3 linked regions of the Caenorhabditis elegans genome follow. The protein of the gene in region 2 interacts with the protein of the main gene of each other region in a pairwise test. Each region holds a gene or a part of one and is shown on either strand. Other genes may lie near its edges.

Region 1 (7,798 bases), on a different chromosome or scaffold from region 2:
GTATGATAAATTGTAAATTTCAGTAATTTTCCTTTAAATTTCAAGTTTTTCTCATAAAATAAATAAATTTAACTTTACCTCTTAAAATTGGAATTTCACCTTTTTCTCTCAAAAACGAGGTTTTGAAAAAATCAATTTTTTGCATGTGAAAAAAAACATATTTTTTTGAAGTTCAAAAGAAAATTACAATTTTTCTTTTATTGTTCAAAAAAAATTTTCTTTTTATAGATTTCTGACGGACAAAATCCAATTTTATTTAAAAATTTTTGAATTTCAAATGAAAATTATAATTTTTATAGAGAAAACTACGATTTTACTCTTTTTTATTTTCAAAAACGGATAGGTTCAAGATTTCGGAAAAATAATTTTTTAATGTGAAATTTTTTAAACATTCTGAGTTTTAGAAACGTTATTTTTTATTTAAAAAATTGATAAGAAGCCGTCAGGTTCCGAGTGGAAAACACGAAAACTTGTTTTTTTTTTAAATTTTTTAGCGGAAAATCAAATTTTCTTTCAAAAATTTAGAACTTTGAAGGAAAATTGCAATTTTTAGTTTTATTTCAAAAATTTATAAAATTCCTTCAAAAATATATACCCATTGGTTGGGGATTCCTCGCGTTTCTCCAATCCCATCGACGACCATGCGGACAGGGCATCGTACTTGCGGCTGAGAATTTCTGAAAAATCCTTATTTGTCATTTAAAATTCTTATTAAAATTCGCAAAAAAAGCTTACCGTTCTCCATAATATCATTAAGCGAGTTGTTGGTTCCCCAGTAGTCGTAGGTTGGCAGATCTTGTTTCGCCGATTGTCCTCCTCCCAACGATGGACGAGAAGACAGTCCAGTACCGGAAAGAGATTCCGGAGTCAACGAACTACGCATCGATGGGAAACTGCGGAGCAACGCGTCCAATCCCAACGAGCTCTCCATTCCGAATGGCGACGACGACATCTCCTTCTGATTGAACGGATTACTGTTGCCGAATGCTCTTCGATAGAACATCGATTGTTGCTGAGCCTCCTGCATTTGTTGTTGAGCCTGTTGCTGCTTCTGCACCATCAACGAGACACCGGCCAACTGTCCGGCAAAGTCATTGTCGGTTTCTGGAAGATTTCCGGTTCGCTGGAAGATGTGCGTCTCGATCTCCTTGCGGGCAGCCTCGACGTTATGTGGGAGGCCGGTCACCTGGAATAGAAATAGTTATATTTTTGTAGTTCTCGCAAAAAACTTATTTTATTACGGAAACACAAAATTCCAGAAATGTGTATTGCGCAACATATTTGACGCACTAAATATCTAGTAGCGAAAACTACAGTAATTCTTTCACTGATTACTGTAGCTCTGGATTTACGCGCTCGATTTTCGAATGAATTTCTTTTCGTTTCTTCATATTATTTTCTCATTTTCTTCTTAAAAATATTTTTCCATCGATAAATTTTTTAAATTCATTTCTTAGAGCACGTAACTCGAATTTCTTTTTGTTTCTTCATATTATTTTCTCATTTTCTGCTTAAAATTATTTTTCCATCGATAAATTATTTAAATTCATTTCGTAGAGCACGTAACTCAAAACAAGCGCTACAGTAGTCAATTTTATGAATTACTGTAGTTTTTGCTACAAGAGATTATGCGCGTCAAATATGTTGTGCAGTACACATTTTCAGAATTTTTTGTTTTCATTATAGGAAATATGCTTCCGAATTTTTGTGAATTTAAATAGTTTATGTTTTTTTTTTAATTTTTCAATAAATGTTATTTCCAATATTTTTCCCCAATTTTGTACGTTTTTCTCGGACTCCTTCGCGGAACTGTGTCATTGAGGCATAGATCACAATCTCTGATTATCGAGATGGATATCAAAACGACACGCGACCTCTGTCACTGTCTTGTGAGAACTTTTTCGGTGAGAAAATTAGAAGTTTTTGAACCAAAAATTGATTTTATAAGTATGGAAAATGCTCAATTTATCTGAAAATAAAACCTTTGAAAATTCAACAAAGATCTCAAGTGCACTATTTGAGGTATTTTTGAAATGTTCAAAACGAAACAATTCTATTACCAAACTAGTCGGACATTTTTCTATATTTCCATACCAATTATTCATTTGAGCCACGAACAAAAACGACAATTGGTCTTTTTAGAACGCATATAATATCCGAGGTGAAGCTTCTGTACCTTTCCCTCATATTCTCCCAAACATCATGTAATTCCTTCCCCGCCTGGCAAATCCATCACCTCCTTGTCTCGTCCAGGGTACCGGAGGCATTTGTGTCAAACGGACAACTAAATTGGGAGGAATAACGATGAGCGCACCGCACCGGGGCAAGATGTCATGTACTAGTGGGCCCGCACTGTCAACACATTCACAGTTCGTCCGGCGACCCAGAGTAGTGGGGGATGATAATTACCATTGTGAGGAAGGAGGAAAAAGGCCATGCGGATACGGTAATTTATGTCGCCACACACACACACACACACGCATCTATAGACACATACGGTCAAAACCGTCAATTACATAACCCTAATATGATCTGATTACTGTTCAAAAGTTCGGAAGCCTTCCTATAGAAACAACAACGACCTTTGTTCGTCATTTTGAAGTACCCCTGGTGCTGCCACAAAATGTTGCTCTCCCTGAGCCAACGGTGCAATAAAACCAAGCATATGTGCAATTTGGCGCCCGCCCCGGTCATTTAATTAATTGAGTCTCTTTGTCATCGCGATCCCCCCCCTTTTCTTCACCCTACTACCCTGTTAGATGGAATGAAAGAGTTGGTGCGTGTGTATGTGGACTCCCCATCGCGTGACTCTTGGCTCCAAAAACCCGGGCGGCCCCATCCATCGGTAATTCGACTAATCTACTGTGTGCTGGATGTTTCTCAAGGCGTCATTGAGCATCAAACTGAGATATCTCATCAACAATGATATTTTGCTGCCAAGAAGAAGAAGACGACATGCAACATTAATCGGTCCCGCGGGGGGAATTCTACCAAATTAAAAGATTCTAATCATCATCTCTCAGTGAAGACCCTAAACGGCTCCCGAGGAATTTTTAGCATTTCGGATGGAAGGAAACCGTTTAAAATTCACACCAAGAGGTCACAAGCCCTTCCGCTGCTCGTTTCGGCGCCCATGGTTGCTCTTTATTCTCTTTAGAATATCAATTCCGCACAAGTTTGATTGTTTTTGTTTGTTTGCCACAGCAGTGGCAGCCAATTCACAACTGTACGACCTCGAAAATCGCTCGAAACTCGGTGTCAGGAAGAAAACAAGAGACGGCCGAAAAGAATTGGGTATATCACACCAGACACTTACAAACACACATGTGTTTTCTGTCTCTGTCTAGGCATTAGGCTCCCCTTCTTGCAGTGACGAGGAAAAACAAATAATCGGAATGAAAGATTGACAATGGTAATGGGGACCTTAAAAATAGAAATTTGTAATGAACAACTTCTATGTAAAACTCGAGAGAAGTGTGTCGCAGAAATCAAATCCTGATGAGGTTTTCTAGAATCACGGTTATCGCTGAGACTTTCAGAATGATATATTTACAAACTTTGCTACAAAACAGCCGATTTTCTTATGAATTCTCCCCATTTTACAATTTTTCTAGATTACTTATATGTAAAAATCGAGGAAAATTGGAGTTGAAATCGGTTTTTATACAGAAATATTTCAGAAACCCCGCCGATTTTTAAATTTTGTTAATTTTCAGCAAAGCAACAAAAATTGGACCAATATTATGAAATAATAGCATGGTCTAATTATCTAACTTTTCTTAGTCATAAACTTGAATTTTTCAGTCAAAAGTAGATTTTCAGCACGATATATGCCATGGAAAAGCCGATTTTCAGTATTTTCTAAGCCGAAACTAGAAACTTCTCTGTTTTTGTTAAAAAGCATGAAATTGCTGAGAATTTTGCTCCAAAACTCTATGCTCTCCAACAAAATTACCTCAAAAACGGGCTCCCTTTCTCGGCTCGGCGTAATGATGTACGTGTGGGTGTCCTGTTGAATTCGCTTGATAGTCGCTCCTTTCGGTCCGACGACGAGTCCGACAACTCTTAACGGAACTCTGACATAGCTCGTGATCTGTCCAGGTGCATGGGCTCCTGGAACAACTGAACAAGGCGCTCAGGAACCGGCTGCCTACGGTCACCTACCTTGTGTATGTCTTCTCGACGCACGGATCTGTGTGAAGTGCTCGGCGGCGCAGTCGATCTCTCGTTTCGCCTCGTTCACGTCCTCCAGGCGTCCGGTGACCACGAAAATTGGATCTTCTCCGCGAACCGGTGTCTTGATGTAGGTGTTGGTCTTGGCGCGCAGTGCCTTAATTTTGCAGCCTGAAAATTTGTGGAAACTGTAGATTTGACTAAAAAGGCAATTTTTACCTTGACGACCAACAATCTCGGCGACATGCTCCGACGTCGGAACTTCCACGGACTCTGTGACATTTTGCACGCCTATCGACGTTCTGTAGTTGAGAAACTGCGCAATATCCTCCGGATCGCTGACTGGAGAGCACGAGGCAGTGTCCTCCTCGTAATACCAAGCCCCTGGCAATTTATAGGCGATTTGTTCTTCCTTCATTCTGAAAAATGGTTATGTTTGGGCGAAAATCGATTCAAAAATCGAAAAATAGAGGTTTTTCGGAATTTTTAAGGATATTTTCGATGAAAACCGCAGGTACCCATGTAGGAAGGGCAAATGGAGAAAAAGCGACAAAACGAGGCGCATATGATGAGAAAGACAGACGGGCAGCGGTACGCGCGCACAAATGGCAAAGCAGTACACGGACAAAGAGTGGGGCGGGTGGGTGACGACAGGCAACACCAACTGGTGTGTGTGTGTGAACGCGACAAAAATCCGAAAAATCCCGCCAAAAGAACCACCAAAAATTGAAAATTTTCGGCGCCGAAAAAATGAAAGAAAAAACAGAGAGAGTACGGTATCACTCATTTAACGTGTGTGAGATAGTGTGTAATTTTGGGCCGCCGTGTTCACGTACAATACGCGGAGGCGGGGCTTGGATATCGTAGTATTAAGTGGGAAATTAAATACAGTTTTTTTTTGTGTTTTTTCCAAGAAAAATGAAAAATCGAAAAAATTGTGTTTTCAGATATGAAAAATTGAAAATTTTTGTATATTTCAAAAAAATCGATTTTTCGAATGAATTACTTGAAATTTTGGTCATTTTTTAAGCAGTATAAACGAACAAATTTCGATTATTTTTGCAAAAAAAAACCGAAACTTTTTCCACAGCACCTTTGAAATTGACTCTGTTGAAAAAGGAAAAAAAATAGCGCATTTTTTCAAGTAATCTAGAAAAGAGGTTGCGATCAAGAACAAGGGTAATAAAAAGGAGGCAGGCGTGTAACAAAAAATTCGATCCTTTGAATTTTTGAGGAGGAAATCTTTTTTTAAAAAAGGAGAAAAAAATTTGGATTTTTAACTTTCTCACGAAAATTGAAGGGTGAGGCAAAAACTTAATTGCGGTTCGAGGTTGTTTCCAAGAAGACTTTTCCCCTCTTTTCCCTCTTTTCTCTCCCTATTCTCTTCTGTATGTTAAATATCCGACCCACTTAAAAAAAAGGAAGGCGAAATTTCGAGATATTCTGTTTGAATGGCAACACGTTTGCCGATTTTATACCAGTCATCCTTGAACATTCCGTCTATTCTCGCAAGGCCATTTGAGGCTTTTTTAGAAGCGGATTTTTAGAGATTTGGAGGATTTTCAGTGGGAACATTAATCAAAAAGTTCAAAAATCATCCGAAAATCACGAATTTTGAAAAGAAAATTGGATTTTTTTTCGTGTTTCTTAGACTGTTAGCTTATTTGCCGAAAACTCACGGTTTCCAAAATTCGGCGTCGTTCCACGTGTTATGCCCGTTTGAGAAGCCTTCTGGAAAAATTAAAAATTTCAAAAAAAAACTTCAAAAAAATTGCTCACCATTTCTCATAGAAAAAGGTCTAACGCTCACGACTGGCATTTTACCTGAAAATCTGCGATGTTTTGGGGTTAATAATTATGTGGTTGAAAAAAAAATTGATAAGCGGAGAAATTTGTCACCAAAAAAATATGGAATTAAAAAATTGCAATGGAAATCAGAGAGACAAAAATATACTACGGGTACACAAAATTATAAGAATGCGTATTGCGCAACATATTTGACGCACAAAATATCTCGTAGCGAAAAAACAGTAATTCTTTAAATGACTACTGTAGCGCTTGTGTCGATTTACGGGCTCGATTTACGAAATGAATTTTTTTGAATTGTCGTGTTTTCTTTTAATATTTTATCTGTTAATAAATAATTTAATTAAATCGGCATCAGTGCTACAAAAGTCATTTAAAGAGTTACTATAGTTTTCGCTACTAGATATTTTGCACGTCAAATATGTTGTGCAATACGCGTTTTGGGAAATTTGTATTCCTGTAATACAAAAACGACAAAAACGATCCGTCATAATCAGCGACCAAAGAAAAAAAGAAAAGACAGTGGGCTCCCAAAAGGGGGCGGGGACAGTTAGAGGTTCAGAGAAACCGATGGTGGGGGGCGGGTCTCTTTTGTTGTTGTCGTGCAACATTTTTCGTCCAGGGGAAGAAGAGTGAATAAGGAAGAAGAAATGCAAATTAAGGTGGTAGAAGGATGAGGATACGGTACTTTGGGACAGAAGAAACGAGAAAACAATGGAATTTAAAATGAGATTTTAGAAATGTGTAGATGTAAATGACATATTGAAACTGGTCATCTCGTTTTTTTTTGGCAACACTAGTTTCACTTTTAGGCCAATATTCAAGGGGCTACAGTACCCTTAAAGGTACATACTACTTCTCCCATAAAAAGCGGCGGAACGTCGAAAACAGGAGAGCGGTTGTTTTTTTGGAAATCCGATCTTCCGTATATTCCACGCCGAATCTGTTGGTGTCAACATTACAACAAAAACAATTTGTTTGCGTTTTATACGTTTTTTTTTTCGGTTTTTTTAGAGGCCCACCACGATTTACACAAAATTATGCACTCATAGTGCATCGACGAAAAGCAGTTTTTGAAGGGTTGTCGGTTTAAAATGTAATTTCCAAATAAGCAAGGTGCAGAGTGTCCAATAACTAGAAAATCTCGAAACTGTTTTTTTCCCGAAAAATCGCTAAATTTCATTTTAAAATTATCATGTTGAATCGATGAGAGCAGAATGTCGTGGAATTTCAAAATTTGGTTACAGAATGCGCCGTTATAAAGACAGATATTGGTCCTCTCATGGAAAAATCAAAAAAAAGTAATTTGAAAAAAATACCATCATGGTGCATCGAGAACAACTGAAATGAGAGTATTCGGCGGAAATTCCAAAGTTTCCAAAGAAGATTAAAGGTGCATGTAGGTCTCAAAAAACTTTTCCGAGAAGCAATTTTGAAATTTACTTCGAAAACGTTATAGTGCGTCGAGAATGAAACTATTTGGGTCTCGGAGTGATTTTTTTTCTGAAAATCGATAAAAACGTCATGGTGCATCGCAAAAATCGCTACCATTCTTACTCTAAAGTTATCGCCAAACAGCATTATGGTGCATCGAGAAGTTCGAAAATTCTGAAGACGTTAGAGTGAAGGGACACAAAATGAAAGACATTTGCATGTCCCACAATACGGTTAAAAAAATAAATATTAAAATTCAGCTTGAAATTTTCCACCATTAATTTTTCGAAAAGGCTCAAAATGTAACCCAAAATTATCATGGTGCATCGACAAGAACGGAACATCATGGTAAGCAGGCGCGGTTTCAGTGCCTACCTGAACCCTG
Region 2 (4,280 bases):
AATGTAAAAAACCACAATTTGCCGAAAATTTTTGGCATTTGCCGTTTTTTCGGCAAACTAGGCAAATCGGCAATTTGCCGGTCTGCCGATTTGCCGGAAGTTTTCAATTCCGGCAAAAATCACCGATTTGTCGAGAAAAAAATCGTTTGCCGCCCACCCCAGTTTCAAATTTTATATTTTATCGTTTTTAGAATTTAAAATCTTAAAATAAAACTACTTCAGCCAAATCCTGGAGTTTCTAAGAAAATTCTGCAAAATGTTTCTCAAATTTAGGCCACTTTTTTACGAGACCGAAAAGTTGTTAATTTGCAACTCCATTAAAAATAAATTCAGGTTTTTTCAGAACAAGATTTTCCAAAATATCTGCCAGAATGTTTGTTGTTTGAATTCTTTCCATCAATTTTTGAAAACCCTCGAACCTTGTAATTTCTTATCTTCTCTCCCAAAATAATTCGTCTATCATGATCATCACATGCTATTGACTCATCTACTTGTTGATATGCTTCTCCCTTTTGCTCTTTAATATTGTCAACTCACACTTCTTTCCCGTTGATTCGACCTGACAACTCAAGCAAATTGGTCCAAACGAAAACCAAAACAAACTACCTCTCTTCCTCTTTTTTTTCCCGCAATACTGAATTACACGAGAAAAGAAGAAGATCTATTGAGCCAGATTTTGATTGATTGAGCACTTGTGTCTTGGGTTTTTCGAGAGCCAATCAAAATCGAATTTCGATGTCATTTTGCTCTTTTGAATTACATCATTCCACGAAATTGTGCCAACTGTCATTTTCCGACAATATCTTGTCAGGTTTTCAGGCCGTTTAAAAAGTGCATTCGAGATAGGAATTTCTTATTTTTCGAGTTTAGATTATTCTAGTACACTTGAATCATTCTAATTATATTTCATTTATTTTTTATTTTCCCTAAATCTTCTAGACCTGAAAATATCAATTAACTCCTTCATACCCCCCCCCCCATTCATTTCTCATGAAGAAAAAAACTTGAAAACCACTACTGGGCTCTTCCGGTGGGCAATAAAAGCATGCTCGCATGTGTCCAACAGCCGAAATTTGTTTTCAATTACTTTTTTTACTACTGTTACTTGCTAGAGTTTCTCAAATCAATCAAAAATGTTTGACCAGCCCTTTTTGATCGTTTATCAAAAAACGTTTTCTATCAGTTGATAAGCTTGTTTATGTTTGAAGTTGCCCAATTTTTAACAAAATCAGTACTCTCTGGGATTGAATAAACCTTCTATATTTTTTTTTTTCAGTTCCCAATCATTTTGACTAAACTTTAAATATGTGTAGATCAGAGGTAGGCGGCGAATTGCCGGAATTGAAATTTCCGGCAAATCGGCAAGCCGATAAAATGCCGATTTGTCGAATTTGTCGGAAAAACGGCAATTGCCCAATATTTTCGGCAAATTTGGGTTTTGGACTTTTTTTTTGAAAATTTCAGAATTTCAATTTCAATCGGCAAAATTGTACGTGTTTTAAGTGTTTCCGGCAAATCTGATATCCGGCAAAAGACAATTCGGCAATTTGCAGGAGTTGAAATTTTCCGGCAAATCGGCAATTCGCCATTTGCCGATTTACCAAATTTGTCGGCAAAAAATTTGCAAACGGCAATTGCCTCCCCTGGTGTAGATATAAGCTCTTAAACTTGCAACTCAATTGAAGACATTCCATTTTAGGATGATTGTTCGGATCTCCTTATTGGCCAGTTTACTGGTCATCTCAACCATCGCATTTGAATGCTCCCCTGATACAATTCTCCGTATGGCTACCAACAAACGAGAGAAGCAGCTGGAACGAGAATGCCACGAACAAAAAACTTCGCAAGCTGTCTGCGAGACCAAGGAGGAGCTAGAAAAGAGCTGGAAGGACTTCCAAAAGGTTTCCAATGAGTATAAGGAGGCTGTGACTGCTTGCAGAAAGTATGTCGAGGAGAAGAGCAGGCCGAAGAGTTAGTTTTTAGTATTTCAGGCATAAAAAAACCAACAAAAAAATAATCTGTCATTTTTTCAGGAACAGTTCTCGATGGTGACATGGGAGAACCTACTGAGGATCAAGAGGACACTAATGATCATGCAAGAAGAAGAAGACATCACAATCATGAGGGTCATCATGGCAATGATATGAAGCATCGGGAAAATATGGATCGTAAGAAGCACGGAACACATGTTGATCATCATGGAAGAGTCCGAAGGAATGGAGATCACGATCCGAATGATCCTAATGTTGATCATACTGGCCATAACCATAGAGTAAAGAGAAGTATCGATGGTAAAAGATTTTTATTATTTATTGAAGTTCAACCTGTTCAGTTACAGATGACCCAAGTGACACTACCATCGACCACACTAGACACAATCATAGACGCAAGAGAAACCAAGATGGTAAGGAAATTTTTAAAGATCAGGCAATGCCAAGAGCATCATAGTTCATACTAAGTCAGAGCAAGACTTCGTTAACAAAAATTTCGATACCTAAACAAAATCTATTTTCAGATGATCCGACTGACACAACCATCGACCACACTGGACACAATCACCGCCGTCGTAGATCGGATGATCATGATCCAAACGATCCCAATGTAGATCACACAGGGCATAATCATAGACGCAAGAGAAACCATGATGGTAAGGCTTTCTGTACCTCCACCTCGAAAATTTGAATTTCCATCTACCCTTACCTGCAGTCTTAACCTTGATTTCCTGTTAGATAGTTTTTTAAGTCCTTTAGCATTTGACAAGCTACGATTTATTATTCTGTGGATTTTCAGATGACCCAAGTGACACTACCATTGATCACACCGGTCATAACCACCGCCGTCGCAGATCTGATGATCATGACCCAAACGATCCAAATGTAGATCACATTGGGCATAACCACCATAGACGCAAGAGAAACCATGATGGTTGGTGCTGAATGAGAACTTCACCTTAAAAAATTCTTATTTTTAGATGACCCAAGTGACACTACCATTGATCACACCGGGCATAACCACCGTCGTCGTAGATCAGAGGATCATGATCCGAATGATCCGAATGTTGATCACACTGGACATAATCATAGACGTAGGAGAGATCAGGATGGTGAGCCATTGTGGTGTAGGTGTTCGTCGACAAAGTAAATTAATTTCAGATGACCCGAGTGACACTACCATCGACCACACTGGACACAATCATCGTCGTCGTAGATCTGATGATCATGATCCAAATGACCCAAATGTTGACCATACTGGACACAATCACAAGAGGCGACATGGTAATACATTTTTCATTAATTTATCAAATTTAAGAGCCAAATTTCAGTGATTGCTTCTCGCTCCCGCCGTACTGTCTGCTCTACAGCTGGCCATGATCAGCTCTCCGCGATGAGCTCAAAGTTCACAAAGCATTGTGAACGCGAAAATATGTAATTATTTCTGGTTTCTTCTTTCTTTCTCACAATTGGCTTCCTTTTCAGCTGTTTACCAGACGAAGATCTTCCAAAGGGAAAACAACAGGACGATATTCTTGCTCTTCAGAAGCTCCGCGCCAAGAAATACTCGGAATATTTGACTCAAGTATCCAAGTGCTACGGAAAGCTGTAACCATATGGAAATGAATAATTTCATTCGAATTTCTTGTAGAAAGAACAAAATAGCTAAATTTGTGCACAATCTGTGAGCATTATTCGTGTCTATATGCTTACCTACTAAATGCTTCAAAACTTTGTGTTTGTGTTTCGGTGTGGAATTGAATAATTGAATAAAATTTTTAATTTCTGTATATTTTTGAAGGATATTAATAATCGGTTATAACAATAAATAAATAGATCACATCAAATTAACTCGAAATTCCAAATAAATAGATTTGAACTTCCCCGGTTTTGGAACACTGCAATCGCGCCCCATTGCTAAATAATTCTTATTTTTATTTTCGAACATTCAGCGGTTTTCTCCATTTTATTTTGTGAATTTACTTTGTTTTTTAGCGAGAAATAAATTATAAAACCGATAAATTTACTAAAAATTTTAGTGAATTGTATAAAATGGCATATTCGGGTTCATATCCCTGGAATAACAACTATTACAGCCACGGGCAGAGTTCTGGAAATGACTCTTGGGCTCCATCGGCCCAATCTCAAGAGGTTTTAATTAATCTTCCGAAAAACAATTTCTATTATTTGAATTTTCAGCAGTATAATCCAGTTTATCCATCACTCAGTGGGACACCAAACTTTTTCTCATCTTCTGCCCAGGTGAATATTTTAATATTTTACCAATAT
Region 3 (7,699 bases), on a different chromosome or scaffold from region 2:
ACTGTACCCCCATTTTTTTGCAACGTTTCTTTACTTAGTTTTCTTTCTATTTTTTTAATGGTTGCCACACAATTTTTGTTATATTTTCTCCGGATGTTTTCCACTGGCTTCCAGCCCGTTGCGCACTTTCATTCCGGCTCGTTTATTTTTGTAGACATCGTCAGTTTCTTGACATTTCTTATTCTTAAAAGTTCAAAGTTTATTGGAACTTGAAAAAAATCAGAGTTTGAATTTTAAAAATTTTTTTCAGCATATTTTTTGCAAGTTTAGAGATTTTAAATTCCAAAATTGATTTTTGCAGAATTTTTTTGACAGTTTTTTTTAAACTGAAAATGTAGTACTCAAATCAATAGTAGCCAAAGCAATAAAAAAGGCTTGAAAATATATTCCCACCTGAAACAATTTGCGCTCGGAAAATTTAAATTCAGCCAATTTCAGCAACCTTCGTCAATTTAAGAACACCCTCCAGTATAGAAGCTGGGTTTTTTATTTGCAAACTTATCTAGAATGCTGAAAGAAAACTCGAAAAGTATTGCTATTTGTTCCAGATTTTTCCATATTTTTCACACTCATTTCCCAAAAGCTTCTGGCTCCAAGTAAATATTTTTCCAATTTTTTGCCAGTCCGTAAATATATCTATAGCCTCCCTCGTCGTCATGTTTACATGCTCAATTCCATCCTCATTTCTCATTATTTCCTTCATTCATTCTAAAAAATCTTTTCTTAGAATGGACACTTTTAATTTTATATCTGTAAAAATAAATATGTGAAAAGAAAAGTGAGGAAAAAAACAAAGATTGAGAGCCCCCGTTCTGTGATGATTGATGAATGTCGGGTGTTTGAGAATTTTTCATCAAAAACATACTTTCCTTCATCTCTGATTTTTTTTTGGATTTTAAGGATATGTAGAACATTTTGTTTTCCTAATATTTCAAAATAAGATTTAGTTGAAAAATAAATTCAAACATCAAACCTTATTGGCCGACACCCTCACGGTCAAATTTGCCTATCTGATACCCTGAAGTTTGAGCTTATTTTTTTTTGGTTAAATTTTTTGGGCCAAAAAATCGGTGGTCCAATTTCGTGACTTCAAAAAAAGTATTCAAAAATACTAATTTTTTGGATCAATGTAGAGCGCATTTGCACTGATGTACCGTAAAATATGGCGAATTGATAATTGAATTCAAAAATGGTTCGGCTGTGCGGTTCAGATAGGGCGAGTAGAAAGGCGAATAAGAGGTGCCTTCCTACGTCTAGGAACACCTCGTATCTGTGATCTAACTTTAAATTTTTATCCCCAGAATTATTTGCGAAATTTCTGATTTTTGCGACAATTCTAATTCAATAATTGATTTGATTATATCGAGTCTAGACTCTCTATACTTTTTGGCACCTTTTCCCTTTTAATCTCCTTTTTTCTTCCACTTTCCTCTTGCCTCCGCTCTGAATCCGAATTTCGCTTTTCCTTCTTCACACAAATGAACGCAATCCAATTAGTCCTCATCCAACCACCCCGTCCGGTGCCCAAAAACCTGATCCTTATCACAGTTATCACCCGGGAGACGAAAAAGAATATAATTATGAATAAATAGATATTTTCACTTTCCCGTAAATCCTTCTGTCATTCCTCTTCTTCTTCTTTTCTCCAAGCCTCGGAAATATTCTAATCAATTCTGAAATTGAAAATCTCTTCAGAAAAGAAGACGTCGCCGGGACAACAACAACAGCAAGTGGGCGGTGCATGCGTCGTGCGCACCGCTGCTGATAACAAAATAGTGTGCGAGACGGTGAGTCGCAGACAAATCTCACGGGGGAATATCATTTCAGGTCATTCCAACCGGAGAAGACATGCGCGCAAAACGGTCCTTTATTGTTAAGGTTATGCAATATCCTCGGATATTGACACCCTTTCCCGTACCGCCCGTTCGCTCCTCAGTTCCCCTAAACTGATACGAATTATATCCGCTCCCCAACCTTTCCACCTTTTGAAAAATTCAATTTTACAGCTGCCTAATTCAATCCAAACAGCCGAGATGACAACGGCTTCCGAGCTGCTGTCAGACGACGCAAGAGCTCGATTCTCACATACAAAGGCTCTTTTTGAGCAGCTTGAGAGACAGCAAGACGTGAGTTTTTTTTGGATGATAATAATTGGTTTCCGAATTTTGAAATCATTTTGCTATTTTGCATTACGGTTATTTATTTTTCTTGAAAAAACTCACTAAATTGTGGATTAGAGCATATATTCCAGAATTTTTATGCAATTTTTCGCAAAATGATTTTCCTGGCTATATAGATCAAATCTGTAGCTCCCTATGAACAAGTTTTGCCTGCTAGTAGATTCTTCACTTAGGCCTTCAAAGAATAAGTCCCCTCTCTTGATTTGATCTATGAAAATTGCTGGAATTTTGCTCACAGGAAAAGTGAAAAAGTATGACGTCCCCGCTCTTTAGATCACCAGCTGAAAAGTCTGCGTCTAAATTTGGCGAAGTTTTCGGAGATCATTCGGAAAAGAGATACTCTGACTACCAGTTTCTGTATCACTTCACAGCCTCACGTTTAAGAAATTTGACGTCACGTCTGAAAAATGTCTGAAAAAGAGGTTTCCCTATGATCAAGTTTTGCTCAACAATTATTAATTTGGGTCAAAAGTTGGAAACACTGTCGACTTGATTTAGACTTCTACCATATTTATAACTCAAGTTTTGTTAAACACAGCTTAAACCCAGTATTTTCAAAGTCTTGCCCAAATTTTGCCAACTTCTGAGCTAATAGTAAGCTAACTTTTTCAAACATCAGATGCCCGCCACGCTTTTTCCAAAACAAACTCTAAATTGGGCAAGCAGACTACTGTAGTGTCAATTAAAAAATAATGTTTCTAGGTTCCATCATTCTACTCTCCACGTCTTCAACGTCAACCACCACCTCCATTACCCCCAAAACCTCCATCTCAATGTCCGCCGAGTCCGATGTCACAGGTATGTGTGATCAAACAATCACATGGCTCTCTTTCTCTCTCTCTCCTTCTCTTTCTGTTTTCTGGAAAAAGAAATGGAATTTAAAAATTCAAAGACTGTGTCAGTTAGTCAATGTTTTGTGTCTCCAACACCCCCGTCTCTGTTATACTGTTCGGTTGACTAATCCGCTCATCGATAATAGATTCAAAAATAATGGCATTTACTCATATCACACACACACTCCTTTCCCCCATCAGACACACACGCATATAACACATAATCGAAAACTCGAAAACTTTTCCAGGTCGAACGAAATTTCTCTGATTTGGCCGCGGATCTCGATCGGATCCAATCATCGCCGGCAACGTCTAGGTTTATACAAAATAAGTGAGTTGTTTTTTTAAGGATTTGTTACCATACCATAACTTTTTTTTAATTCTCAAAAAAATGTAACTGTAATTTTTTTTGATCAATCGCAATTTTCTCCATTCGGTTCGCGGGCCAAAGTATTTTAATTTTTTTTGGTAGTTACAAAAAGTCGCCTGCAACTAGATTTCAGAAATTCTAGGAAACTGTGCGAAATTCAGATAAATTAGTTGAGAATTTTTTTAAAGGAACTTTTTTGAATTTTCAAATCGAAAAAAAAACCAAAATCTCTGTTTTTTCTTTAATTTCAACTAACATTCTTCTTTGCTTCATTATCAGCTTCGCATGCCTTTTCTTTTTCCAATTCAGATCATCAACTCTTCCGTCATCATATTCCGATTCCACACAGCAGTATTCGTTCGAAAATACGGTTGCCACGTCGCAATATGGAGGACTTCAAACCAACAACAATAATAATAATATTAATATGAATTCATTTGAACCCTATTGGAGAAATGGATCAATATATCGGAGGCAATTCGAAGGAAATGGCAAACCGTATGTGTTTCGCTTCTTTTATTTTTCTTACTTTCTCGCATGAGTTTCTTTATTTTTCTCTATAATAGTTTTTTTTCTTGCGCTGAAGTATTTTAGTTGCGACTAACAAATATTTGTGTTTTTTCGAAAAAAAATGTGGCCTAGAAAAAACCAGAAACTTGGCCAGCATATTTTCTTAGATTTCTCATTCGGGATTTTTTTTGAATTTGCTAAAAAAAAGATCCTTGTGACTTTTCCAAAGTACAAAACTAAAAGTAAAATTTTTGATTCATTCAGGAACACGGTCTTCTTTGGATCTTTCAGAATAGTGATGGCACATAATATCTTGAAATTTTCGAATTTTTCAATTTGAAAAATCTATTAAGATTACAGAAATTGCTAAAATAGCGTGGCCGAGTTTTCTCACATATCGGCTCGTTGGAACCGTAAAAACCCTTTTCAAGCCCATTGTTGGCAAGCTTATGAAGGATCTATCGTAACCTTAAGTTTTTAAAAAACCGCACTGTGTTTGTGATAAAAATTCATTTAGTGTGTCTAGATATATTTTTAGAACGCCGATTTTTTATCGGACATTCACATTTTTTAAAATTTAAAAATTTGATACGATTTGCGCCAGATTGTTTTTTTAGTAAATTTAATATATGCAGGCACCTGAAAAAACCAATCATTTCATGAAAATGAGTTGCTGTTAATATAAATAATCAAATTTCTTCGATCAAAACTTTTTTTTCAGTTTTGGCGAGGAAAACGATGGAATCTCACCAACGACGAATGGAGTGAAGCACACGACATACGCCGTCGTCAAAACACCAAAGGAAACAGAACTTGAAACAACATCAGAAAACAGAGGACTCATGGAAACACGGAGGGGTCTGAGTCCAGAGAGGCCTGACGTGGATTTAACGAATCGAAAGGTCTCGTTCAGCACTGCACCTATTCCGGTAAGATCACCCACTTTTCCCATTCACTCATGTTTCTTTGTTGTTGCAAGTTTGCTCTATGGAATGTATGATGTTCAAAATAATTTTATACTTTTTCTAGGCCAAGACAGATTGAAACGTGGCCGAGAAAAATCTTTTTGAAACTATCAATAGAGCAAACATGCATTCACTGAAACTTGACCACCACAACCTAACATTTCCTTTTGTTTACATATATGTGGCAAGGTGATATTAATTCATTAATAGATATATCTATACAATCTCGAATTAGGTCACCTTATTGATATGATAAGAGATGAGGAACAAGAGAAAAAGAGAAAGAGAAAGCGATCTTCATTTGCATAATATCTAAACGTTTTCACTTTCAGGTCTTCTCGGCGTTTTCCGTTGAAGACTACGATCGCAAGAATGAAGACATTGATCCGGTGGCAAGTTGTGCTGAATATGAATTGGAGAGACGACTTGAAAGAATGGATTTGTTTGAAGTTGATTTGGAAAAGGGTGCCGAGGGACTTGGAGTCTCTATTATTGGTTAGTGATTGTATTGTGGCTTACCATAACTTAGAAGCCTTGTATCTCGGTTACAATCGGATGTTGCTCACAGTTTCTGTTTCATTTTTATAGTTGGAAACTTTCTTTTCTCGGCATAACCAAAGATAACCGAGATATAAGCGCTTAATTAAACTTGAAGGAATGTCAACCTGAAGCTACTGTTTAGGAAAAAATTATATGCTTTCTGCCTGCCTACGGTTTTCGGATAAATTCGTTATGTTTCAGGTATGGGTGTTGGTGCAGACTCGGGTCTTGAAAAGCTGGGAATCTTTGTAAAGAGCATCACACCTGGCGGAGCTGTTCATCGAGATGGACGAATTCGTGTCTGCGATCAAATTGTTTCAGTCGATGGAAAGAGTTTGGTCGGTGTCTCACAGTTGTATGCTGCAAACACGTTGAGATCCACCAGCAATCGAGTCACTTTCACAATTGGTTGGTTTTTTTTGGAGTATTGTGCCGAACGCGTATGATATATTGCATTGATGACTCCGTGAAATAACACAAATATTTTTGTGTGCAACAGCGACTCAATACACCATATTCCGCGCAAGCGTAGAGAAAAAAAGCATCTAGAAAATATTTCAATTATGTTTACCAGTTATCTTCCAATTTAAAAAAAATGTATTGCAGGTCGCGAACAAAACCTTGAAGAATCCGAAGTTGCTCAGCTAATTCAACAAAGTCTTGAACACGACAGAATGAGAATGATGGGAGACGAGGAAGACGATATCGAAGAGCCGCCACCACCACCATCTCAAATGCCACAGCTACCAATTGAACAGGATCGTCCGACAACTTCAATGATCACAAAAGAAGAAATTGAGATTCGTTCGAAGATTGCTGCTCTTGAACTGGAACTTGATGTTACTCATAAGAAAGCAGAGCAATATCATGAAGTGTTGAGCTCAACGAAATCACATTGTGATCAACTGGAAAAGCAGAATGAGCAGGCAAATTATATGATTAAAAACTATCAGGAAAGAGAAAAAGAGTTGTTGAATCGAGAAGAGAATCATGTGGAACAATTGAGAGATAAGGATGTACATTATGCATCATTAGTTCGTCAATTGAAAGAACGAATTGATGAGTTGGAATCGAAATTGGAAGAAGCTGAAGAGAGAAGGCATTCTATTCAGAATCTTGAGCTTATCGAGTTGAGAGAGAAGTTAAAGGAGAAAGTTGAGAAGAGGAATGAAGGAATGGCGTATAGACCAGGTGGAGAGCTTCCTCACGAGGATAAGGCTGTTATGGTTAATTTGGAGACTATTGTAAGTTGGAGAAAATATGAAAGAACATTCATCTTCAAACTTCATTCTAAAACAGTTTTCACATAATGCCTAAAATTAAGCTTGAGCGTAGGCCCTATGCCTAAGCCTAAGCCTACGCCTAAGCCTAAGACTAAGACTAAGCCTAAGCCCAAGTAAGAAACTAATTATAACACCCATTTTCATTTCCAGACTCCATCAACCAAAAAAGATGCGGAAGTATCAGTTGGAAGTAGTTGGACAGAAGAGTACTCATCACCATGCGAGTCGCCAGTCCCTCGTATCTCCGAGCCAGCATCTCCGGCTCTTCCACATAAATTGACGCATCGCAAACTTCTGTTCCCACTCCGAAAGAAGTACGCCGAAAACGAGTTCTGGCGTGCCACGTGTCAACCAGTTGGTCTTCAAGCTCTTCATTGGACGGTGGACGATGTTTGTCAGTTGCTCGTTTCAATGGGCTTGGACAAATATGTGCCAGAGTTCACCATTAATAAGATCGATGGAGCCAAGTTCCTCGAGCTCGACGGAAATAAACTGAAGGTGAGTAAGATGTATACGATCCCGGCGCAAGAAAACTCGGGTAGAAAAAAAAAACGCTGCAATTACATAACGAAAAGTTAAACTATTTCGTAGGCACCAAGGTGCTAAAATTTTTTAAACTTTTCGGTTTTTTGGGTAAAACCGAGAAAAAGATTCCTGAAAATTCTGAAATGAATTCAATATTTATGTTACACTCTATTTCATAAAAACAACAGAAATGTCACTTTTCGAGCAAGAGAGACTGAACTTTTGTTTTTGATTTTTCAGTTTCTTGTGCCAAACCCAAAAACCCTTCAGGTCTAGTAGGCACAGTCTGCCTACCTGAAAAGTGCCTAGAATATACAAGGCTTAAAATAGGTGCATTCTATAAACCTTATGTGACGTCAACTTTTTCAAATTTTCCACAATTTTGGGAAATCACACCACTTGAAATTGTTTATCTGAATCAATATTTTTTAGGCAATGGGAATTCAAAATCACTCGGATCGTTCTCTAATTAAAAAGAAAGTAAAAGGAATGA

The links.
Region 1: the proteins of F40F8.5 (region 2) and mex-3 interact in a two-hybrid assay, tested with the Caenorhabditis elegans proteins (one large-scale study listed by BioGRID).
Region 3: the proteins of F40F8.5 (region 2) and nab-1 interact in a two-hybrid assay, tested with the Caenorhabditis elegans proteins (one large-scale study listed by BioGRID).

What each region holds. Positions count from the first base shown.
Region 1 is NC_003279.8:125,491-133,288, reverse strand, and holds the start of mex-3 (K Homology domain-containing protein), read right to left. Parts: upstream 6,005-7,798; 5' UTR 5,993-6,004; coding exon 5,953-5,992; intron 5,905-5,952; coding exon 5,853-5,904; intron 4,593-5,852; coding exon 4,393-4,592; intron 4,345-4,392; coding exon 4,165-4,344; intron 4,123-4,164; coding exon of another isoform or gene 4,114-4,122; coding exon 3,956-4,113; intron 1,187-3,955; coding exon 736-1,186; intron 678-735; coding exon 596-677; intron 1-595.
Region 2 is NC_003280.10:11,132,348-11,136,627, reverse strand, and holds F40F8.5 (Filaggrin-like), read left to right. Parts: upstream 1-1,699; 5' UTR 1,700-1,700; coding exon 1,701-1,971; intron 1,972-2,033; coding exon 2,034-2,291; intron 2,292-2,338; coding exon 2,339-2,404; intron 2,405-2,515; coding exon 2,516-2,647; intron 2,648-2,790; coding exon 2,791-2,925; intron 2,926-2,971; coding exon 2,972-3,103; intron 3,104-3,152; coding exon 3,153-3,275; intron 3,276-3,322; coding exon 3,323-3,425; intron 3,426-3,476; coding exon 3,477-3,603; 3' UTR 3,604-3,776; downstream 3,777-4,280. Other genes in the region: F40F8.11 (NADAR domain-containing protein), read left to right, coding at 4,044-4,142, 4,191-4,253.
Region 3 is NC_003279.8:4,227,882-4,235,580, forward strand, and holds the start of nab-1 (Neurabin-1), read left to right. Parts: upstream 1-1,695; 5' UTR 1,696-1,787; intron 1,788-2,004; exon of another isoform or gene 2,005-2,006; 5' UTR 2,007-2,033; coding exon 2,034-2,126; intron 2,127-2,882; coding exon 2,883-2,978; coding exon of another isoform or gene 2,979-3,062; exon of another isoform or gene 3,063-3,261; coding exon 3,262-3,344; intron 3,345-3,692; coding exon 3,693-3,881; intron 3,882-4,614; coding exon 4,615-4,822; intron 4,823-5,190; coding exon 5,191-5,353; intron 5,354-5,599; coding exon 5,600-5,806; intron 5,807-6,004; coding exon 6,005-6,642; intron 6,643-6,831; coding exon 6,832-7,179; intron 7,180-7,638; coding exon 7,639-7,699.